Linked DNA regions of Sus scrofa. The protein of the gene in region 3 purifies or fractionates together with the protein of the main gene of each other region. This does not show direct contact. Links are inferred from orthologs where the notes say so. Each region holds a gene or a part of one and is shown on either strand. Other genes may lie near its edges.

Region 1 (3,517 bases), on a different chromosome or scaffold from region 3:
TTAAACCATCAGTCAACTTAAAATCAATTTAAGAGAAACACTATTACTTACACACATGAGGGCACACAGCATATCAACAGCTGCATGGATTACTCCATTATTGCTCCTTTTGAGTGCTTTTACCACTTTCACTCCTAGACGCTCCCGAAACCTTGTGAAACAAAACAACAAGCATATAGTATTAATGGCAGAGCATTATTCTATTATTTCATTATTAAGATATAACATAATAAGTCATCTTATGTTTTTACATTACTACTGCAATTACATACTCTGAATCCCATCTCTGGAACACATCAGTTTTCAGAATAATTTTTTTCTTTGAGGCGGAAGATTTTCTTAAGGTTAATTAAAATTAAAAGGCATATAATTTCCCATTCAAATTCACTAAAACAAGAGTCAGTAATATCATGGGTGAATGGATAAATAAGAGTTAGTAATATCACCAGTTCCATTCACCTTCCTTTTTTATTTCAAATCAATCAAAAACTACTGTATCAGCATATTAATAGGTATCAGGTTTTAGTCAGATATAAAGAGGTAAATTGTGGACTATTTGCTATTCTGAATTGTTCGAATTCTCTAAAAAAAATTTAAGACCACTTACTTTGGAAGCTGAGTAAAGGCTAAAAAACCAGCTTTGGAAGCCACAAGCCTCCTCACAGCTTGGAACTGACTTTCAAGTTCTGCATTTGAAGCAACAACATCTCCCTCTTGGGACAATAATGCTGTTATAGCATTATTGATCAGTTTTTCTTTGTTTTCTGAGAAGAGACCCTAGGTGAGGAAGAATATTTCAAAAAAGTTTCCATACCAAAAGTTAATGACAATGAACAAATTACAATACAATTTATCTTACATCCTGCGTTACTGCATGTAGAACTCCGCTATATGAAACATTAGCATTGAACCTGAACACAGCATCTGCAAAGTTGCCATCTGTAAGGAGATGAAAGGTTCAAAAAGATTTAGAGATCTTCATTGTACTTCTCAAACTATTATTAAGTTAATGGATGGAAATGCAATTACATTTAAATCCATACTTACTCGGAGGTGTAGCCAAGAATCTGAGATGAAGGCTCTCTACCTCCTCATCGACCGGCATGCTGAATAACCCCCATCGCTGACCTTTATGAGTTGATGTCATTTTTACACAAACATCTCGGTTACCAGAGGCTCTTACTCCATCGAGCAAACTTGCTAATAAGGAATCCCTAAGCAAAGTTAAAAACAAAAAGGTTTAGGATTGATAAATTAGAAGAAATTTTGATTTAGAGGGTAACCTAGGCTCTTTAGCAGGTAACCTGTCAGGGGAGCCCTCTGTGCACAAGGGAATCACAAAAGGACAGTGGCATTAGGAGAGAGCCTGACATTCTGTGTCCAAGGTATTAAAAGTATTAAAGCTTTAATGTTTTCCTGTTGTTTTTTAATTTTAAGATTATTTTTTAAAGTTTTACTTGGAGTTCCCATCGTGGCGCAGTGGTTAACGAATCCGACTAGGAACCATGAAGCTGCGGGTTCGGTCCCTGCCCTTGCTCAGTGGGTTAACGATCCAGCATTGATTGCCGTGAGCTGTGGTGTAGGTTGCAGACGCCGCTCGGATCTCACGTTGCCGTAGCTCTGCCATAGTGCAGGAGGCTACAGCTCCGATCTGACCCCTAGCCTGGGAATCTCCATATGCCGCGGGAGTGGCCCAAGAAATAGAAAAAAGACAAAAAAAAAAAAAAAAGTTTTACTGGCGCAAAACTTACAAATCACAAAATTCATATAATTAAAATGTATAGTCTGGTAATTTGTAGTATATTTATACAGTTGTGCCATCATTACAATCCAGTTTTGATATTCCCCCCAAAAGTTTCCTTGTGCCAATTTGCAAAAAACATCCTAGTCTTAGACAACTGTTTATCGTCTCTGTCTCTACAGTTCTCTTTTGAAGAAACTTCACCAAGAGAATGAAAATACAAGTCACAGGTCTATTTACAAAAGATGTATCTGATACAGGACTATTAACCAAAATATACCAAAAACTCTTAAAATTCAACAAGAAAATCCAATTAAAAAATGATCCAAAGAACTTAACAAAGACCTCACCAAAGAAGCTATACAGATAGAAAATACACATGAAAAGATGCTCCACACCTTATGACATCAGGAAAATGCTAATTAAAACAAGATATGGAGTTCCCCTCATGGCGCAGTGGTTAACGAATCTGACTAGGAACCATGAGGTTGCGGGTTCGGTCCCTGCCCTTGCTCAGTGGGTTAACGATCTGGCGTTGCCGTGAGCTGTGGTGTAGGTTGCAGACGCGGCTCGGATCCTGCGTTGCTGTGGCTCTGGTGTAGGCCGGTGGCTACAGCTTCAATTGGACCCCTAGCCTGGGAACCTCCATATGCCACGGGAGCGGCCTAAAGAAATAGCAAAAAGACAAAAAAAAAAAAACACAAGATACTACTGGGAGTTGCCGTCGTGACTCAGTGGTTAACGAATCCAATTAGGAACCAAGAGATTGCAGGTTCGATTCCTGGCCTAGCTCTGCGGGTTAAGGATCCAGCATTGCCATGAGCTGTGGTGTAGGTCACAGACAATGCTCAGATTTGGCGTTGCTGTGGCTCTGGCATAAGCCAGCAGCTGTTGCTCCGATTCAACCCCTAGCCTGGGAACCTCCATATGCCTTGGGTGCAGCCCTAGAAAAGACCAAAAAAAAAGATACTACTACATCAGTGTTACAATAGCCGAAATCTGGAATACTGATACCACCCAATGTTGATGAGGATGTGGAGCAATAGGAACTCTCATTCACTGCTGGGTGGAATGCAAAATGGAATGTGGCTTTTGGTAGACAGTTTGGTCATAGAAAACTCAACATTCTCTTACCATATGGTCCAATGATCATATTCCTTTGTATTTAACTCAAGGAGTTTAAAACTTATATCCAGACAAGACCTGTACACAGATGTTTATAGCAGTTTCATTCAGAGCTTCCAAAATTTGGAAGCAACCAACATGTCCTTCAGTAGGTGAATGGGTAAACAAGACAATGGAATATTATTCAGTGCTAAAAAGAAATAAGCAATCATGACATGAAAAAAACATGGTGGAAATGAAAGAAGCCAATCTGGAAAAGCTACATACCATATGATTCCAACTACAAAATTGTGGAAAAAGCTATAATGGAGGAGGGTGGGTGGGTGTGTGTGTGTGGGGTGTGTGTGTGTGTGTGTGTGTGTGTGGCGGGGTCGGGGAGGGGGCAGTAGGAGGTATTTGGGAAATCTCTGTACCTTTTAGTCAATATTGCTGTGAACCTACTAAAACTGCTCTAAAAAGGTCTTAAAAAAAAAAGCTTCATAGAAATTGAATCATATAAATATGTAGCCTTACATATCCTTATGTGTCTTGCTTACTTTACTCTTCATATGTTTTTAAGGCTCAGTTTTTTCTTGCTGAATAGTATTTCATTACGGATACACAACACTTTTATCTATCTCAAATAGGGGATATATATATATATACTGTATC
Region 2 (3,517 bases), on a different chromosome or scaffold from region 3:
GAGTAGCATTATAATCAAGCCATCAGAGCCTGTGGAGAGGAATAGCCATGCACCCGCAGCGGAGACAATCAGGTGGAAAAGCCATAGTGCCCCTTTAGAAGTGGGCTCCTCAGATGCCAGACATGTTACTGTGCGGAATGCCTGGAAGAGTAGGCGAGACTTGAACTCTTTTGAAGACCCCCCAACTCGAATAGGTAAAAACGTGGAGTCTACCAACGCCTATACCCAGAGGTCTTCCACAGACTATTCAGACCTCGAACAGCCTGGCTCATACCTTTCTGAGCAGGGCACTCGAAGGGTAGGAAACTCAGGGGATGCCCCTGAGCTCTCTTCCAGAAGGACCCAGAGCAGCCTCACCGTGTCAGAGGTGCTCACTCGTCGGAATCGGGTAGGAGATGCTGTCACAGCCCCGGCCTGGAACCACTCAGCAGGCACAGTAAGTCCCATTTCTCTCCCTGTCCCCGCTTCTCTTTCCACTTTTCCCGTCTCCTTTGCTTTTCCCTCTCCTCCTCTGACCTGGCCTGCGTGACTCAGGATTATGGAGACTGGGGGCTGGGAAACACTGGGTAGAACTGGTGGGTAGTGCAGAGAATTTTTTAAAATGAGGGGAGTTTGGCCTTAAGAATAAAGTACCTTGAGGAACGTATTTGGTGGAGAGCAGCTTGAATTTCTAAACTCCTTTTCCCAATTTGTCGCTTCCATTTTGCCTTCATATATGAAGGCTACAAAGAAGGAGGGAGATACGACCTCTGTCCTTGGTTTGCCAGAAGAGCCAAAGGAGCTTCCCTTATGGCCCCACAGAGCAGTACTGAGAAACACAAGAATCAGCTGCAGTTGTTGGGAGGCTCTGGGTGAAAGGAGGAAGCTTGGTGCCCTTTCTATAGAGCAGAGATGGAACCAAGGAAAATGAGTTCTTTGGCTGCCTTGGTTTAGACAGCAGATATTTCCTAGTCCCGGTGTAAGCCCCAGCTCTCTTCAGCCCCTACATGCTAACAGGACTACTCTGATACACTTTATGTCTGAGCATCACTTTTTGTGTCACAGACACCTGTCTAGCCCATTATATCATCAGTCTGTGGGCAGGGCTGGTTCACTGGCTTTGTTGAGGATCATAGTGCTGGAACAACATATGAAAGGGAATCCCCGGGGAGTGTCTTATAATTGTGGCTCAAGTGATGAAGACAATTTTGATGTAGATATTGTTCCTTTCTTTTTAAAAGGTGACTGTGCGTTAAGTTGAAAAGCCCTATGAGTCTTTACAGGTACTTAACCCTGGACAAAACACTTCCTTACCATCGCATTCAGTCTCTCCAGCAGCCCTGGGGTGTGGGAGGATATTATTTGTTTTTTAGATGCAGAAACTGAGGGTCAGAGACACAGAGTTCCTTACCCAAGGCCACCCAGGTGAGTTACTGGATGAGCTAATAAGCCCTGAACCCAAGATTCCTATCTCTGAATCCAGTGCACTTTTACCCTGCCAACCTGATTTTGTAACTCATACTGGTATTCATGATCTGCATTAGTTTGGGAAGATCAACAAGGACATTAAAAAGCCAGAATTCTGGAGTTCCCGTCGTGGCGCAGTGGTTAACGAATCCGACTAGGAACCATGAGGTTGTGGGTTCGGTCCCCGCCCTTGCTCAGTGGGTTGACGATCCGGTGTTGCCTCGAGCTGTGGTGTAGGTTGCAAACGTGGCTCGGATCCAGCGTTGCTGTGGCTCTGACGTAGGCTGGTGGCTACAGCTCCAATTCGACCCCTAGCCCGGGAACCTCCATATGCCGCGGGAGCAGCTTAAGAAATGACAAAAAGACCAAAAAAAAAAAAAAAAAAAAAAAAAAGGCAGAATTCTGGTTGAAGAGGAATGGAGAGAAAGTTGGATGTTTAGGCTGCTGAAGCTTTGGCTCTCTGAGAAATACAGGATGAAGGGCACGTATGGGATATAGTAGGAAAGGCATGCAGTTTGTAGGTGGGAAATAGGCTAAGGCTGTCCAGCTTCCTGTTTAGCATACTTCCCTGCCTCTCCACCAAGCAGATGGCTCTTAGCCTGAGAAGCACGCAGCCTGCATGTGCAGCACTCCAAGGGCTGCTGGCCTCCACTTAGGGCACCACTGCAGTGCCCGTTGCAGGCCCTGTCTGCCCGTTAGAGGACCTGTTCAGTTGTGAGCCTCCCCCTACCTTAGGAGCTCCCAGCAACTTGGAGTTGGTAGTTGAAAGTTTTATATTGGCCTGTCCCCAGGCCTGAGCGTATCTTTGTAGCTCTGCTGTGGTCTGTCTGCACTCCATTTCCCTCTGTCAGGTTGGAGAGAACCGTTGGGGTGGGGAGCGAGGGTGTCTTATTACTTACTATATTGTCCTTCGCTGCTGACTTTTGTCACTTATTGGCATAGGAGGAAGGTGACGACTGCACACTTGGTGTCTACAGACGACTGCACAACTCCCTTGAACGATCTGAACTGTCTGCGAAGCAGGGGCTTCCAGAGCCTGGGCGAGCCCGGGGTGAGGAACGGTTACGGCCAAGCAGACCCTGTGCTGAGGAAAACTGAGCCAGTGGGGTGAGGTCTGCTGCCTCCTCTGCTCATGCTTCTCAGCTCTTCCATCCCATCTTCCTGCTCTATGAAGGATCCAAGGCCACTTAACCAGGCTAGACACCAGGCCTTGGCTGGGAGACTGTCGCAGAGAGCCAGGCTGTGGCTCAAGTCATTTTTTGCCAGTAGGCCAGAGGGGATCAGAAACTACAAGCTGGACGTAGTCACCCGGTTCCAGCCTTCCCTGATGCATGAGTCTTCTCCTTGTCCCCACCCCCTAGGTAGGATGGGCCACCCTGGCCCCAAAATGAGGAAAGCTAGAGAAACTCCTTGTATCCACACCACTTAACAGCAGCTAAATCTCTTCTTTGCTCCTTTGTGGGTTCTGCGTCATAGGGCAACCCCCTTCTGTGTGGTTAATGTTCCAGTTTCTTAGGTCTCCACACTGCATCCAGGTCACCGCTTGTTTGCCCTAAGGGCCTACACACCCACCAGCCATCAGCTCCATCTAGGGGGCTTCCGTTCCTTCCCCTGTGGAGTTCCTCAGTCTTTTACAGCAAAAGAGGTCTGTGCTGCGTCTAAGGGTTTATGGAAATACCCTTTAGGTCAGAGTTTTTTGACTTGGCCCCTTGGCTGACCATTGTTTTCTGAGGGCAGAACACATGGGTACCCACCTGATGGAATGACACCACCTCTCCCCCCAACCCCAGCTCTTTGCTCACCTTCCAGAGGTACCTGGAAGTACACAAGCCTCATGCATCTCCTTCTCTGAGCACCAATAATGCTGCTGGCCTTGCCTGTTCCTCTCCTGTGGCTGGAGACCTCAGGCTGACTTGGTCATGTCCTCCTTTGGAATATTTCCAGACTAAACTGGGCCTGACCCAGCACACTCTGCCTTCTAGGAAGCGCCAGCACGGGGGGAAAGTGGACAGGAGAAGCGATTTCCCTTTAGTCACTCCACAAAGCAGTCGTTCATGAAAGGCACGGACTT
Region 3 (4,039 bases):
TTGTTCACCCACTCACAAAGTATTCTTGGCTACTTACCATGTGTTCGCCACTGTTCTCGGCACTTGAGATCCCCCCCCAACACACACACACACAAAGCCCCCACTCTGGAGCACTCGGGGAGGGGGTTGGATAGAACCTCGAATGATAAGATAGTGAAACAGGGAAGGGGGGAGAGCATGGGGCTGGGCAGGGGGAGGCAGTTATTTCCAACAGGGTGGTCGGGAAGGACCCTGACCAGGTGAAGCTCAGGAGACCTGAAGGTGGGCGAGCTCTAGGAAGAGGGTGAAAAGGTCTAGAAGAGCAGGATGAGCTCAGAGGGCAATGCAAGGTGGCATCCTTAGAGACCTTTTCTGAAGACCCTGGAAAGGAGGAGCCCTGAAGGTTTCTGAGAGTAAGTGGTGTGACCTGCTGTACTTGGACTGCTGTGGGGCTGTGTTGAGTGCAAACAGCTGAGAGCAGAAGCAGGGGTGCAAGTGGGAGGGCAGGCCACTGGTCCAGGAGGGAAGGCAGGCTGGGTGCACCCTGAAGGGGAGGGGACTGGGTCTCTGGCATGAGAGTCCAGGGTGATGCTGAAGTCACCTGATAGACTTCCATTCTCCAAAAGTGGAAGGATTCTTTGTTCGTGTCATGATATGAGAGAATATACTTAATGATGTCAAATATTCCCCTCCAGCAACAATTCATCGACATGGAGTCTAAGTTCAGAAAAATTGCCATCCAGCCTTAAGGGCTTCATCTCTGTTCACTTATTTACATGGCTTTGATCTCAGATTAAAGGTTGTGATCCAGCTTTAAAGTGTTATTATCTCCACTTGAAGTGCCCTGTACCTTCTCATTCTTGCAGCGTGAAGCAGCGAGCTCCCCACAACATTCACTCCACTTGTACTGACCTTCATGGTGTCTGACCTCGTGGCCTACGGCATCTTTTCCTAACAGGAGATTTAAATAAGTTGGGTGTGAAAGGGTCTTAACCATTTCACTTAAATTCCAGCAAATAACTTTTGAACAGAAGAAAGTCATTGAAAATAAAGGAAGTTCACCTTCCTACGTCCCGCTGGGTGGTAAGAGGGGCGCCTTTTCTCGCGCGCTCTATTAGCCTCGTTCTCATCTCCGGAGAGGGCCTGGTGGCCAGGCAGGTCGGGCGACACGGCCCCGGCGGCCCGGCTCTGCGCGCGGGAGGCGGGAGGGCGGGCTGGGCTGGGCCGGGCCGGGCCGGGGGCGCGGGCTCCGCCCTGGGGGCGGTGTTCCAGGCGAAGAGCGGGCCCGACGCCACGTGAGCCGCCCCGCAGGCCGCCCGGCTTCCTCCTACCGCCCGCGCGCGGTCAGCCAGCGCCCCGCGCCCCTGGGTTCCCCTGGCGTCTGGAGCCCCGGTTCCCTGGCCCCCAGTCGTCCGGACCCCAGTCCTTGCTCGACCACCCGCGCCCCCCGACCCCCAGTCCCCTGGCCCCCAGTCCCCACCCAGACCGCGGATCCCCAGCCCGGGCGCGGGCGGCGCGTCAGAGAGAGGCGTGCGGCGCGGTGACGGCGGTGACCTCGGGCCTCCGGGCGCAGATGGCTCAGGCGAGGATCAGCGCCAAGGCCAACGAGGGCCGCTTCTGCCGCTCCTCGTCCATGGCCGACCGCTCCAGCCGCCTGCTGGAGAGCCTGGACCAGCTGGAGCTCAGGTGTGCGGGGCGGCGGGCGGATCCGGGCGCGGTCGGACCCCGGCCCTGGGGCACTCGCTAGCCTGTCCGTCCGGCGGTCCCTTGGCCCCGCGTCCCGGCGGCCGCGCTCTTGCCTGCGCGGGAGCGGGGGAAGCCGAGGAGGTGAAGGGTAGGGACGCCGCTGGCGGTTGGGGCTGGGCTGACACCGCGGGTCCGCGGAGCTTCCAGAACCTTCTGCACGCCAGGGGTTCGGTCGGGTCTCCCTGAGATGCTCTTTCTGAACGGGTGGCGGTCTAATGGTCCCAAGGTCAGTGATCCATTCTTTTGCTTCCAACACTTAAGAGCAATATCTCAGAATAAAGCTTCGGGGCCCCATCGGATCCCAAGGCGGGGCGGGGCGAGGGCACTTGTGGGGCGCCCGCCCGGTCCCCTCTGCGTTTTTCCCGGCGCCGGGCTCCCCCCACCAAGAGCCGCTCCCACCTTCCAAGTGCAGTTTGCTGGCCCGAAACCACAGGGGTCACCTGTTTCCACTCTTAGCTGATTCAGGTTTTAATAAGGAATCAACGTGTGGCTTGAAATAAAGCCGCGTGAGGGGGCCCGAGCTGCGCTGTTGGGGGGCGTGCTGAGCACCTGGGGGTGTGGGGGGGCCTCTAGCGCCGCCCCGGCCCCACGGAGGGGACTTGAGGGCGGGGTAGATGGGCGAGCGCACGTTTTGATAGAAGGTCGCTGCTGGTCGGGAGAGCAGATGTGTCCTCAATGGTTTTAGTGCTTTTCTGCGTGTGGGAAGATGCAAGAATCTGGGTTCATTAAATTTTCCTGAAAATCTCTCTCTGTGGGCCTGTTCCGCCAGTTTTCCCAGAGCGCAGAGCCTCCTCATTCCTGCTCGTCTGAATTCTTTCCAGGCTGTGCTGTCAGTTCCTGTAGAACCGGGTGGCCAGGGACTCTCCTAGCGGCAGATGGGGTGGTAGGCTCCTTGGGATGCCTAAAGCCTATGCAAGAAGTTTTGGACCTACTTTTCTCTTTCCACAATGTATGAAAACGTTGATGTACTTCTCGTAAAGGTTCAGGTCACAAAAGCTACTGTATAAATTGTGTGCAAGTGTAGTTTTATGAAAATCTTAACTGGGGCACCCACAACTCCCTTAAACCTCCGCATTTTTTTCCATAGTTTGCACCAGGTTCTGGATGAGCAAAGGAGTAGGTAAGGTAGACATTTCAAGAATTGCCTTTACCTCCCTTGATTAATACACCAAAACGGGAGGGGTCTTATGACTCATAAAGTACACTAATAACCAAATGAGGCATTTCTTCATTATTTATCATGATTAACTGAATGAGGCATTTATTATTTATCAATTAGCATTAAGCAAGTGAGGCCTATATTAATCATTTTAAAATTTAGTATTTATCATTTGAAATTTGTTATTGATGATGATGGCAAGAAACAATGTCTTCTCGGAAAATAAATTCAGAATGTATACCTGTATGTGTGATTGGGTCATCTTGCTGTACAGTAGAAAATTGACGGAACACTGTAAACCAGCTATAATGGAAGAAATATCATTATAAATGAAAAAAAAAAAAAGAAAATAAATTCTCCACCATCATGATTTTGTGGGTAGTAATGGAAACCAGAACCCAGACTGGTTCTGGGGTCCTGCTGGGAATGACACAGATGGAATAAGGGGAGAGCAGTGCTTCCCGTGGCTGGACCTGCTGAAGCCAGTGCTCCTGAATGTCGTGTGTTGTCCCCTTTCCAACCCCCGCCCCGGCAGACTGCCTTTTCTTTTTTCATCGCATCGCAAAGGGGTCTTGTCATCTTCCCGGGCTTTAGAACTTGGAGGGGCATGTTCTCAACCATTTCTGGGGTCTCCCCACCCCCACACCCCATCAGAAAGGAAGGGTTTCTTCTTCAGGGACCGTGGGGGATGTTGCCCCCGCCTCCTTCTTCAAGCTTGAGTGGTGGTCCTCAGACTTGAACTAGTGCCTCACGTACGAAAGCAGCCAAGTGCTCGTCTTTACCAGGAAGGCTTTGGTTTTGAATATTGTGTTCCAGCGATTGATGTGAAGCGAATTCTGATTACTGAGTACAAGCAATTAAATTGTATTTTGCCGAATTAACTCTTGAACTGAGGAGGAAAGGCTGATTAATGTGTGTCTAGTTGTTCATTTTAAGGACCTTCCCAGTAATTGTAGACTTTTGCGAGCTTTATTTCTTGCTTTTAGAAAAAGTAACGCTGAGTGAAAACTTAGGAAGCATTTGGGAAGGTGGGTAAAAACAGGAGTTTTTGAAACCATGTGAGCCATGGAGAGTGGAGTGCACTCTCAGAACCTAGAATCCTACCTAGAAGATCAAGTGGAAGAAGAATGCATGATTTTCCCAGGTCATTTTCTC

What was found.
Region 1: the proteins of BAG2 (region 3) and DNAJC13 purify together in Homo sapiens (affinity purification with mass spectrometry; 3 studies listed by BioGRID and IntAct, with this or other methods). This does not show direct contact. The link is inferred for Sus scrofa from reciprocal best matches to the Homo sapiens genes BAG2 and DNAJC13.
Region 2: the proteins of BAG2 (region 3) and LUZP1 purify together in Homo sapiens (affinity purification with mass spectrometry; 3 studies listed by BioGRID and IntAct, with this or other methods). This does not show direct contact. The link is inferred for Sus scrofa from reciprocal best matches to the Homo sapiens genes BAG2 and LUZP1.

The regions. Positions count from the first base shown.
Region 1 is NC_010455.5:73,625,886-73,629,402, reverse strand, and holds part of DNAJC13 (dnaJ homolog subfamily C member 13), read right to left. Parts: intron 1,215-3,517; coding exon 1,048-1,214; intron 940-1,047; coding exon 860-939; intron 778-859; coding exon 608-777; intron 152-607; coding exon 52-151; intron 1-51.
Region 2 is NC_010448.4:80,976,191-80,979,707, reverse strand, and holds part of LUZP1 (leucine zipper protein 1), read left to right. Parts: coding exon 1-436; intron 437-2,388; coding exon 2,389-2,544; 3' UTR 2,545-3,517.
Region 3 is NC_010449.5:28,677,695-28,681,733, reverse strand, and holds the start of BAG2 (BAG family molecular chaperone regulator 2), read left to right. Parts: upstream 1-1,236; 5' UTR 1,237-1,552; coding exon 1,553-1,665; intron 1,666-1,802; exon of another isoform or gene 1,803-1,940; coding exon of another isoform or gene 1,941-1,951; intron 1,952-4,039. UniProt on the Homo sapiens protein: Co-chaperone for HSP70 and HSC70 chaperone proteins. Acts as a nucleotide-exchange factor (NEF) promoting the release of ADP from the HSP70 and HSC70 proteins thereby triggering client/substrate protein release.